Linked DNA regions of Kluyveromyces lactis. The protein of the gene in region 3 interacts with the protein of the main gene of each other region in a biochemical or structural test. Links are inferred from orthologs where the notes say so. Each region holds a gene or a part of one and is shown on either strand. Other genes may lie near its edges.

The links. The genes of interacting proteins can lie anywhere in the genome.
Region 1: the proteins of PRP43 (region 3) and PXR1 are reported together in a solved structure, tested with the Saccharomyces cerevisiae proteins (2 studies listed by BioGRID, with this or other methods). The link is inferred for Kluyveromyces lactis from reciprocal best matches to the Saccharomyces cerevisiae genes PRP43 and PXR1.
Region 2: the proteins of PRP43 (region 3) and SQS1 form a complex in vitro, tested with the Saccharomyces cerevisiae proteins (2 studies listed by BioGRID, with this or other methods). The link is inferred for Kluyveromyces lactis from reciprocal best matches to the Saccharomyces cerevisiae genes PRP43 and SQS1.

Annotation. Positions count from the first base shown.
Region 1 is NC_006039.1:1,221,185-1,224,498, forward strand, and holds PXR1 (telomerase inhibitor), read right to left. Parts: upstream 1,534-3,314; coding exon 718-1,533; downstream 1-717. Other genes in the region: KLLA0_C14113g (uncharacterized protein), read left to right, coding at 1-685; importin PSE1, read right to left, coding at 1,946-3,314. UniProt on the Saccharomyces cerevisiae protein: Involved in rRNA-processing at A0, A1 and A2 sites through its action in U18 and U24 snoRNA 3'-end final trimming. Negative regulator of telomerase through competition for binding to EST2 with TLC1.
Region 2 is NC_006040.1:1,646,357-1,650,888, reverse strand, and holds SQS1 (Sqs1p), read right to left. Parts: upstream 2,941-4,532; coding exon 718-2,940; downstream 1-717. Other genes in the region: CNM67 (Cnm67p), read right to left, coding at 1-305; cysteine protease ATG4, read left to right, coding at 3,207-4,532.
Region 3 is NC_006038.1:40,747-45,529, reverse strand, and holds PRP43 (DEAH-box ATP-dependent RNA helicase PRP43), read right to left. Parts: upstream 3,247-4,783; coding exon 943-3,246; downstream 1-942. Other genes in the region: KLLA0_B00583g (protein kinase subunit beta), read left to right, coding at 1-711; protein kinase COQ8, read left to right, coding at 3,793-4,783. UniProt on the Saccharomyces cerevisiae protein: Pre-mRNA processing factor involved in disassembly of spliceosomes after the release of mature mRNA.

The DNA of each region.
Region 1 (3,314 bases), on a different chromosome or scaffold from region 3:
TGATGACGATAAGGTAAAAACCCTAACTGATTACAACAATCTAAAATCCGCCCTTGCCAGTATCTCGCCAACATCCGCTACTAAAGATAAGGCCACTACCACCAGTTTAGAATGTCCTTCCACCGGTATATACTGGAAAGCCTCGACAGATTTACCCCCAACTCCAGACAATTCAACTTGTGAATGTCTTGAACAAGGTCTTTCATGTATAGTAGCCGACGATGTTGCTACTAAAGATTATGCTGATTTGTTTGGTATTGTATGTGCGGACATAGATTGTTCAGATATCACAAACAATGCAACAACTGGTAAATATGGGGCATACTCTTTCTGTGACTCAAAAACTAAACTTTCCTACCTTTTGAACAAGTATTACGAAGAAAATGATAAAAACGAATCTGCTTGTTCGTTCAGCGGTTCAGCTACACTTGTGTCAGCTTCAAGCACTGCCTCAAGCTGTAATGCTGTCCTATCATCAGCAACTGCAAATGCCTCCGGAGGTTCCAGTTCTGGAACCAGCAGTAGCAGTGGATCTAGCTCAAGTTCTTCCTCTTCCTCATCATCATCGAAATCATCTTCTTCTGCTTCAAACTTGGAAGTGAGAAAATCAGGGACCTCCTTTGCTGCGCTTATGGTGTGCACCATCTTTTTCATTGCTGTCGAATGCAGTGTAATATTAGTTTGATATCTTAAATAAAAGTATACGTATGTTATCTATCAGTCTGTTACCATAAATATTTCGTTCAGAGCTTTAGCATCCATCACTGCAGCCCGCTTTTGTCTGATCCATTTCGCGCGGACCGAGAGCCTAGTAGATACGGCATCTGGAACAACAGCAGCTGAATCTCTAGGTTTCAGCATTTGGTCTCGAGTAATTTCGTTGGTATCTTTTGAATGTTTATCCTTGAGTTTCTTCTCTTTCTTTTCCTTCTTCTCTTTCTTAACCTTCTTCTCCTTCTTGTCCTTCTTCTCTTTCTTCTCTTTCTTCTCCTTTTTGACCTTCTTAACCTTCTTCTCTTTTTTTACCTTCTTTGTCTTCTTCCGATCGCTAACCTCACTATCAGACGATCCCTCTACCGGTCTCTTCTTACCCATACTATAACTTATGAGTTGCTTATTTTCAGCATCCCATGTACTTGCAAGGACTTCTCCCTTCACAAAGTGTATCCCCCATTTCCCGTTTATAATATTGTCGGTTCTTTGCTTATCCAATTCATCTGAAATTGTCTGCTCATTACCATTTAATCTTCCAAGTAATCTTTGGAAGACGTCCAATCCCGTACATTCACCACTATCAAATTCATCTTGCTTCTCTTTCTTTTTGAGTTTCGCTCCCAACCCAAGATTGTCATCTTTGATAGAAACCTTGATATGTGATGTTGTAGAATCTGGAACTAATCCCAAACCGGAACCAGGTTTCCATCCTAGTTTCTCTAGATGTTTGTGTCCAAATCTTGATGTATTGTTACTCCAAGTTGTGTTTCTTGGATCCAATCCAAACCTTTGTTTATTCCTTGCTGCTGCCAAACCCATCTTGAAATTACTGAATAATGTATTTATATTATGATAATGAAAAGTGTGCTCTGCCAAATGGGGACAGTTCACAATGAATCTTTTTGCTATCAAATACTTTCAGTCTCATTTCATCTCATCTCATCTCATCGCTTTAACAATTCTTTTCAGTATTTTTTTCTTCACAGGATTTCAAGAAAAAGAAAAAAAGAGTTCTCTATTAAGAATAATGATAATGGAAATTGTTGGTGCCAGGCGGGTTGCATAGTATAGCAAAACTGATACAAGCTTGAATCTATTCCGTTCAATAAGTAGAAATGTCTATGCAGTATAAGAAGACTCATATGCTAATTCATAAAAATCAGTATAGAGGGCTAAACATGTACATATATCTGATAATTGGCCTTGGGAAATTAAACCCACGAATCATAATTCAAGCGAACCATTTGTGTATGGTTTGCATGATTTCCGGTGGGTATCGTTGAAGTAGAGCAGATGCTTGTTCCTGTGGGATAGTACTTAGTAGTTTTTTTGCAGATTCTACCACAGCAGTAGCATTTTTTCCACCGATAGACTTTTGATGTAAGGCTTGTATCACATAATCAACGATTTCGGCTGTGTTACCTTGAATCACAGGCGAATTGTGGTCTATCAATTGTGCCAACATTCTATAATTGAACGCGGCACATTCTTCATCGTGGATAACGGGGAAAGTCTTCAACCAGTTGGCAGTATACTGTTCAAAGTTTGGAATGCTGGAGCCGTAACTGCTCAAGATCTTTGCAATGGCGCAAGATGCATTTTCCGAGGAATTAACGTTATCTTCAGATCTGGATTCTGGCATGTTGACGATTTGGAATAAAGTTTCCAACGATCCCAAACATATGTCAGAGTAGGTGTTGGGGGCATATTGTGCACATACTCCGAGTAGGTATGCAGTACCCTGGCGAATGGAGGGTTCAGGGAATGTGAGGCACTCCTTAATTTTCTGAACGAAATGCTGTTTGAAAGGTGCAGAGTTATCGCCAGTGTATTCTATCATATCAGCAATTGCAATCAAGGCGAACAATAAAATGAATACCTCAGTCTCCTGCAAGTATGAATGTATTATTGGCCATAAAGTCTGGAACTGCTGTAGATAAGAAACACCTGCTGATTTGAAAACAGCAGCTAAAGATTTGTTAATCTCGTCAAGCAAATCTTCATCGGTATACTCATCAAGATCGTCATCAACATCTTCGTTGTATTCGTCATCCTGATCGTAACGGGATTTTGTTCTTTCGTAGACGTCGGTTAAGTTATTGTTCACACCTTGTGTAAATTGTGACAATTGCTCTTGATTTAATCCGTTGTTTCCGACAATTCCCAAACAATCAACAAGAGCATAGTGATACGACTTAGTAACTTCTGGCATCGGTTCAGAAATAATTCCAGAAATTAGCTTATTAGATGCAATTTGCCATAATTGTAAAACGATATCGTTGTCCTGTCCTACAGCCGATACCAAAGAGGTAAACAAAGCAGGAATTAAAGTAGCACCACGAGCTCTAACACCATCATGTAAGTAGAAATCAATAGATGGGACGGCAACTTCTGTAAGGATTTCCTTAACGTATGATGCAAAGAAACTTTTCAACACAGTGGCGTAAACTTGTAGAAGCTCCATAGCAGTCACTTTATCATCTAAAACTGAAGTATGAATAGCGATGTGCTTACCTTGAATTTGCACAACATCCCAATCTGTATACTGTTGGTAGTTTGCAGCTTCCTCTTCTTCAATTAAACTAACGTCCTGGGTAGCC
Region 2 (4,532 bases), on a different chromosome or scaffold from region 3:
GGTGAATCAACCTGCACTCTTCCTTCGCTCTTTGAATCCTGCACATTGTTCTCATTCTCAAACGAGCTATCATTTTTTGGGATGATTACACCTCTCGCTTTATCGTACTGTTCCGCTTGAGCAAGTAACTTGTTCTTTCCGACTAGTCTGTCCATAAAATCATGAAATTTGAGCGGAGATTGAGAAGATTGCTTATCGACCGTTAAATCAAATTCACTATCTGTATAATCAAACTTTTCTTCTTGTTTGGCGTCTGTTTGGTTTCCAATGAAAGATCCTCTTCTTTTTCCTGTTGGAGAAAGCATTGCGGACTCAATGTCTCAGTATGTGGCTGTGCTTAATATTCGACGAACTGCTCTAGTTTTCAAGCAATCTTTTATTAATATCGATTGCTGCTCATCTATGTTTGTTTACGTTTTATTTTTTTGGTACTTTTATCATGGCATTGTTAAAAATCGTGTTTGTGGTTAATATAATAAAACGACATCAATCTAAAAATTAGTTTTTGGGATCGGACAAAACGCTCCCAGGGTTTTCACCGAACATAACTTTTGAAGATACGGCATACGTGCACGCTTTTCTAGATATTGTTAAAAAAATAGACCATACTGGCCAAGGGCATTCAATTATACTCTATATGTATATGTAGTTATACACTTATCAAGAAACACAGTCTTTCAACAGCGTTGTCGAACAAGACAATGCAGTATTTTACCGTCATTGTTGATTTTCAGAGGTATGGCGTAAACCTGATTTGTTCTTCTTCACCTTGGCCAAGATTGGTTCGTTAATTCCTTGATTACCGTGGGCACCGAGCCCTTGTCCGATATTCCATCCTAGCTTTTCAAGCATTCTTCTTCCAATATTGTCAATCCCAATTTCTGGTGCATCTTCACCCACAATTTGCCCTTCACTAATATTGAAGTTTTCTTTAGAAACTTTCAAGCGAACAGTACGGTTGAACGTGGATTGTGTGTCAGTCGGAGCTTTTTGATCTATTCTCATAAATACAGGTCGTTTTCTGAGTAATTGGCTGATAATGTGATATGCTGGTTTATTGAACCTTGTCTTTTTGGTTTTCTCAACGTAAACCTTGGTCGATTTTCCTTTACCAATATTGGAAGCCTTCATAAAATAATTGTATGCAAATTTGCCGATGATTTTGTTACCGTGGGGATCCAAAGGTGGGAATGTAATGGATTGACGATCGTTACGGTAAAACGCATCAAATTCGTCTTTTATATTTTGAATGTGTAGACCGTAAGGATATTTCATTAAAAGATCTGTAGAGCTTGCATGTGACTGAGACAAGAAATCTTCTTTTGCTCTTCTTTTTTTGGTTTTGTTTATTTGTCTTGTGGCAAACTTATTTTGAAGCATGAGCTTGATGTCTTCGTCCATTCCTGCTGTTTGATCGAATATTAAATGCTTGTTTCTTCCTTTCCCCCTAATATCCAATGAAGTAGTATGGTATTCAATTTTTCGCTGCTTATTGTATTTTAGAGCGTAAGACACGAGATCATCAAGATCTTCACCGAGATCATCTTCGGCGAAAGGTTCGCATTGATCCGCAGTAGAATCATCACTGTCATCATCATCAAAGGGGATATCAGCATATTCCTCTGGCTCTTCCTCTTCTTCAATGAATGACTTGTGTAGATGTTTGTAATAAGCTCTAAATCGGTGTTCAGGTAAGCCCATTTCGGCAATTATTTCATTCATCATTTCATCATCTACCCATCTAGGCTCACTATCTCCGTATATTTCATGACATGAGACATGATAAGAATGAGTCCCAGCTCCGATTCGAATATTGGAAACAAACACTTTTCCTATCGAACCTTCAAAATCATCCTCACAGAATCCAAATGATTCATCGCCAGAGCTATTATCAGAATTTCCTTGTGATATATCTTTTGTTGTAAGTGATGCAGTGATTGTTTTCCCGGGAATTTCTTCAATTGTTAACGACTTCATTGAACTATCAAACTGTTCGATCGTACCACCTGTTGTTATTAGTTCCTCCGAGGATTCAAATTCATAATCTGAACTTATACTAAAACTCTGTTCAACGTCATTTCCATTCTCATCAAAGTCATCATCCGAGTCATAATTTTGTACATTCTCCATCACATTTTGAATATAGCTGTGAAATGGATGGTATGAACTCTTTGGTTTATCAACTTCAATAGAGCCAGACCCCCCGTCTTTGAGATTAAGTTCCACATTGCCTACCCTCAATGTCGGTTGAAATTCGGTACAGTCATTAAGCTTTAATGACCGTTCCTGTACATCAACATCTACAGTTTTAATATAATTATCAGCAGTCTTTTCTTCTCCTTCCATATCTACATAGAACAATTCAGCGTCGTTCGCTGAACTGTTTGATTCCGAATCTCCATTTTCAGAAACCACATTATCAGATCGTATCTTGACAGTTGTGTTTTTACTTGGAATTTCCTGAGTATCAACGTCTTGTTGTTCATCTTCACCATCTTGCTCTTCCTCCCTCAGGGATACGCTTTGCGAGGAGTTGTAACCGTCAGAGTTTGGCTCGTCAAAATGTTGATTCTTTTTCACCAATTTTAATATTAGGTCATGAGAAGGATCATAGAGTTCTTTTGCTTTGATAAACTCCACGGGACGTTTTCTTGATGGCAACCTGCCAGTATCGAGTTCATCAGCTTCCGTCAATCTTCCAGGCCTAAATCCACCAGATCTTAATGAACTCTTTTTTGCAGTGGATCCAAAGTAATAATCTTCAACTTGATGTGGATTCATCAGGTCACCACCTCCTAGTAACAACTCGGATCTATTCCTGTTGATACTGGTACCTCCCCTATGATTCTTTCTTTGCCTTGATTCACCATGTGGCTTGGATTTCTTGCTTTTTGACTTCCCACCACCTCTGGCATTATAATGTTTATGCCTCTTTGCCATTATCACGATGACCTACTGCTTCAAATTCCTAGCAGCTGCAACAAGGGGTGTACCAGGCTTACCTTAGAGTTACGTTCTTGTTATGAAGTATTATTTTCTACATGGTTTTAAATGCATTTTTCATATAGATTATTGTTCATTAATATTAGAAATATAAGTTTCTGCAAATTATGATCAGCATCGTAAAAAGCAAGTGAGTACAAAGTGCATGAAAGTATAGGAAAACGTATCGCTCAATCTTCAAACCCAGCCATCCCTATGCAAATATGGAGTTCTTGTCAAGGATATCACAACATTTAGGTATAGTGGAAGATGTTGATCGAGATGGCACCGTGTTCATATTGGGCAAAGAATACGCTCCCCTTAACAATAAATCAAGAACGGATGTGGAAACAGATGACTCGGCCTTGGAAAGCCTGATAAATATCGTCTCATTAAATCCTGGACTTTTGTCTGACGTACATTCACGAGTGTTCTTCACATACCGCACACAGTTTACCCCTATCCGCAGAAATGAGAATGGACCATCTCCTATCAATTTTACCCTTTTTTTTAGAGATAATCCTATCAACACATTAGAAAATGCTTTAACTGATCCTGACAGTTTTTATTCAGATATTGGTTGGGGTTGTATGATACGCACTGGGCAGGCTCTTTTAGCGAATGCCATTCAAAGAGTCAAGCTTGCCAGGGAGTTCAGAATAAATGCTTCAAGAATAGATGATAATGAGTTAAATCTGATCCGTTGGTTTCAAGACGATGTCAAATATCCTTTGTCGTTACACAACTTTGTCAAAGCAGAAGAGAAAATATCTGGAATGAAACCTGGGCAGTGGTTTGGGCCAAGCGCAACAGCCAGAAGCATAAAAACATTGATTGAAGGGTTTCCCCTTTGTGGAATTAAGAATTGTATAATTTCAACTCAGTCGGCAGATATATACGAAGATGAGGTCACAAGAATTTTTCATAAGGATAGGGATGCTAATTTACTTCTGCTGTTTGCTGTCAGGTTGGGTGTTGACAAAATCAACAGCTTATACTGGAAAGACATATTCAAGATTCTCTCATCACCATATTCTGTCGGGATCGCAGGCGGTAAACCCTCGTCATCATTATACTTTTTTGGATATCAAAATGAAAATCTTTTCTACCTTGATCCACACAACACTCAGCAATCTTCTTTAATGATGGATGATCTTGAATTTTACCGAAGTTGTCACGGACACAAATTCAACAAATTGCATATATCAGAAACAGATCCGTCAATGTTACTCGGTATGTTAATTTCAGGTAAGAATGAATGGGATCAGTTTCATACTTATTTCAGAGATAGTCAAATTATTCAATTTTTGACAACCAGGCCAGAAAATGATTTATATCAAAGTGCCAATATGTCTGTCGGTTCTGATTCTATTCACTCATTGGAGTCAGACATACAGGACACTGGAGAATACGTTGATGTTGGAACATTAGTTTCTGGCAAACAAATGTCCTCCCCGCAACCAAAAGATGAAGAATTTGAAGATGTTAAATGCAAAAGCCAGCGAATAATCGTCTGCGAAGATCCAGCTGATCCTGAAGTTGAACAAGTT
Region 3 (4,783 bases):
AGATTCATCGTTGATAATGAACTCCGGTTCAGCGACTTTCTTCCCACTGCAACTGATCAGATGGGTAATTTTGTTAATTATCTTGAAATTGTTCCACCTGAGTCGATGCAAATGATGAATTATGAACTGGATGCCCAACAACAGACACAGCAAAAGCAAAATATGCAAAATCAACAACTCTCAGATAATGTTTCTCAATCTCAGAAAATTCGCGATCAAACCATCCAGTCACAGGTTAGAAGGCAACCATCTCAAAGTAAAGATGGCAAATTAAGTGCCAGATCCCAGCTTGCTTTGCATATTGAAGAAGACCCTGATGATATGGGAAACGGATACACCCGTTTCAAAGAGGAACAACAGCTAAAGACCGATTATGAGTATACTCAGGATATCCCTGCTGTCTTTACAGATCCTTCGGTGATGGAACAGTATTATCTCACATTAGACCAGCAACAGAACAATCAACAAAATATGTCATGGTTAACTCCTCCACAACTTCCACCTCAGTTGGAGAATGTTATTCTCAATAATTACAACAAAAATGCTGAACCAGGTAGTGAAAATAATTCAGGTGCGTTGCCAATTCCTAACCACGTCGTTCTTAATCATTTAGCAACGTCTTCTATTAAACATAATACTTTATGTGTTGCTAGCATCGTTAGATACAAAAGAAAATATGCAACACAGATACTATATGCGCCATTGCAATGAAACCACTCCTAGAGATTTGATTTTATATTTTTTACACTGAAATATCATAAGCGAAGTTCTTATGGGTTGAATATAAAACGTACACCATACCGAATTTCAATAAAATGCAGCAAAAAAAACGTAGACTTTGAGTCGCGTGCTAATAATACCGCACAATACTTCTACAATAAGACTTATCATGCTGATTCTAAGGTTAATCTTATTATATAAGTTACACATCTATATGCTTGGTTATTTCTTAGACTTTTTAGATTTCGCACTTTTTTTTTTTTCTTGTTGTAGCTCCACCATTTTATCGAGCTTTTGCTTTACCCTTTCTAACGATAGTTTAATGTCACCTTTTTGGAAGTGATCGAGGTCATAATAAGCTGGTGCTAATTCTATTAACCATTCAGGTCTAACTGATGTTACAGTTCTAATGTAGTTTTTGGAGGTTAGAACGAATTCATTGTATACAACCCATTCGGCATCATGGCCCAAAACAGTTGAAGGATGTATCAAAACATCTTGGTTATCTTTGACTGTGATATAACCTTTTCCGCCAGATCGTTTTTTTGCGACCTGCATAAAGAAGCCTGCAGCTAACGCTTTTCTAATGTTATCGAAATATCTAGGGGAGTCATAATCTGTAGTGTTCAACTCGAGATTGTAACGAACCATCAACCTTTCCAATTGGTTGCGGATGTTGTCAGCAGCAGATAGAGATCTATAATTTAAAAAGTTGTCGCGGCACCACTTGTTGATCCCGTACTCATAAGCTTCGTCTGACTTGAATGCATGGTAGACATTCAATAATGTTAGGTGGTCGCCATCAGGATGTGCAAATATGTTCTTTGCGTCATCTGATCTTTTCTTATCTTTCGAAGGACGAATGAAAACACTAGGTACGGATAACATGGCGACAATCGTTAGCATCTCTTCGGAACAAGAAAATTCGGGGGATCCAATCAACATTACCGCAAGCATTGGATCAAGAGGGAATTGAGAAGCCAATCTACCCAAAGGTGTTAAATTACCATCGTCATCTAAACATGCCAAAAAGTTTAATTCTTCTAAGGCTCTCATCATAGTTTCTGGGGCAGGAGGGTCCATGAAATCGAAATGCACCAAATCGTCAATGCCTAGTTTCTTTAGTTCTAAGACTGTCGAAGAAAGATTACTACGGAGAATTTCAGGATATGATTGCTCGATAAGTTCCTTTTTGAAAGCTTCTTCAGTATATAGTCTGAAACACTTACCAGGTCTGGTACGACCAGCTCTACCAGCTCTTTGTTGAGCTGATGCCTTTGAAATTGGAGAGACCAAAAGGGATTCAACTCTAATTCTTGGGTTGTAAACTTTTTGCTTAGAGAAACCAGGATCAACAACATACACAATACCGTCAATAGTCAAAGAGGTTTCTGCAATATTAGTAGATACAATGACTTTTCTACCAGGTCTTCCATTATGGGATTCAGGAGCAGGTTCAAAAATGCGCTGTTGTTGATGTGGAGGCAAAGAACCGTATAATGGATATACAGAGATAGGACCACAACCTTGCTCTCTAATTAACTGATCCCCTTCTAATGATATTTTCCTTACAGCATCTTCAATCTCATCTTCACCGGTTAAGAATAACAAAATGTCACCCTTCTCCTCCGTAGCATGGATCTGTAAAACAGTTCTTATAGCACTATCCAAATAATCTCTTTGGAATTCTGGTGTATAGTAGATCTCCACTGGATGTGTCCTACCAGGGACAGCTAAAAGTGGCGCCTTATTAAAGTATCTTTGGAATTTCTCAGCATCTAAAGTAGCAGACATGATAATAATCTTCAAATCAGGTCTACGATCAATAACCTGTTTCAAAAGACCCATCAAGATATCTGTTGCCAAAGTACGTTCGTGTGCTTCATCTAAAATGATACAAGAGTAACGTTTCAAGTCATGGTCTTCCATGGCTTCTCTTAACAACATACCATCAGTCATATATTTCAAGATAGTTTTATTAGAGGTCTTATTTTCGAATCTAATGGAATAACCAACTTCTTCGCCTAGTTTGACGTCCATTTCTTCAGCAACTCTCTGTGCCACAGACATGGCAGCAACCCTACGAGGCTGCGTACAAGCAACTTGAGTATTTTGTAAATGTGGCATTTCATCGAACAGCACAAATTGAGGAATTTGAGTGGTCTTACCGGAACCCGTTTCACCAACAAAAACCATGATCTGGTTTTCTTGATAGATCTTCAAGAATTCATCTCTTTGAGCGTGCACTGGCAAGTCTCTTCTTACCTTTAGAATACCGAAATATTTCTCTGATAGTGAGCCACCAGTGAATGGATTAACTGATCCATTTTCCAATCTTTCGGCATCGGCCGCAGTAGTGTGATGGCGTTGCATCCCGCTGAACTCACCAGAATCATGATGAATTAAAGGCTCTGCTGCTGGTGGAGGGTGATCTTTGGTTAATTTTTCTGCGATTTCAGCTGCATGCTCCGGAATAGAAGTCTCAACAGCAGACACATGCTCGTTTGAAAACCTTCTTTTGCCCATCGTCAATTACTCAACGTTTGATGTTTTGCAACTGGTAATGCGAATAATCTCTAACGGAGTAAACCAAACTCAGCAGTAGTATCTAATATTCAGGGGATTTTATAACCACTTAACCTACTATCTCTAGTATTGAACTACACTAGATGAGATGAGATGAGATGAGCTTAATGTTACAATTTGCATTAAAATTTTTAAAAAAGAAAAAACTACACGTCCATATGTCAAAATCGCAATTCCATCATTACCCGGATAACAAAGGTTAGAATGGCAAGAGCAAGCAAGCAAACAAGCATCTATTTGAAATTCAAAAGATGGATTATTCTGCAAGATATCTGTACGATTCGACTCTCTCATGAAATAAGGAAAGGTAATAAAGTAAAGACAGAGTCTTAATCCATTCTTATTACGCTGTATATTCATGAATTTGACCATTGACTCGTAGTATCATTGGATAGATCAAATACTTTCACCCTTTATTTTTGATCTTGTGATATCTGATAGTTCTTCGGCTGAATTAATTGATATCGAGAAGTATCGCTGTATTCAATGTCGAGAAAAGGGCTATATCAAGCTATCTGTTTATCAGAGTCCTTCTGCAACGTGGTAAAAAATTCTGCCTCGATTGGTAGACAGTCTCTTGATATTTGGCTAAAAACTTCCACTTTGACAAGACCGGTACTGTCTAAATTTCAATGGTTTTACGACAAGGACTGGGAACATGCCCGTAAACTTTCTGAATCCGTCAGAAAATCTACGAAAGGGCACTCTTCTAAAAAAGCACACCTTAGCAAGTGCTCAGTCAAGAACAAAAAAAATGTGAGACATTTTTCATCTTATCACAGGTGTTCTAATAAAGCAGCTGACGCTATTCCAGAGGATAAATTGGTGAACAAACAAAAGGCTAATAAACTGGAAAGTTCAGAAGTCCCTTCATCACGTATCTCTCGGCTTTTTCATTACGGCCACCTAGCTGCTAGTGTGGGTATTTCTGCTGCATCTCAAAGTATCACTCAGCTGAGTCGTGGCCAATCATCAAGTTTTAAAGATTTACTGTTATCAGATTCTAATGTTGAAAGGATTGCAAATAAATTCTCTCAAATGAGAGGAGCAGCATTAAAGTTGGGCCAACTAATGTCATTCCAGGATGAGAAGGTTTTACCTCCGCAATTATACACGATACTTTCAAGAGTTCAGAACAGTGCTAATTATATGCCTCCAAGACAGTTGGACAGGCTACTGGCTAGAGAATTGAGTTCTGATTGGGAAAAGAAATTCAAGAGTTTCGACAGGACTCCTATCGCTGCAGCAAGCATTGGTCAAGTTCATAATGCTGTTTTGCACAACGGCGAGGAATGTGTCGTGAAGATACAATATCCAGGAGTCAAAGACTCTATTGACAGCGACCTAAACAATCTTCTTATGTTATTAACTGCTTCCAGTTTATTACCAAAGGGATTGTTTTTGGATAAAACCATTGATAATGCTCGTAAAGAATTAAAGTGGGAATGTGATTATCATAGAGAGGCTAATGCATTGA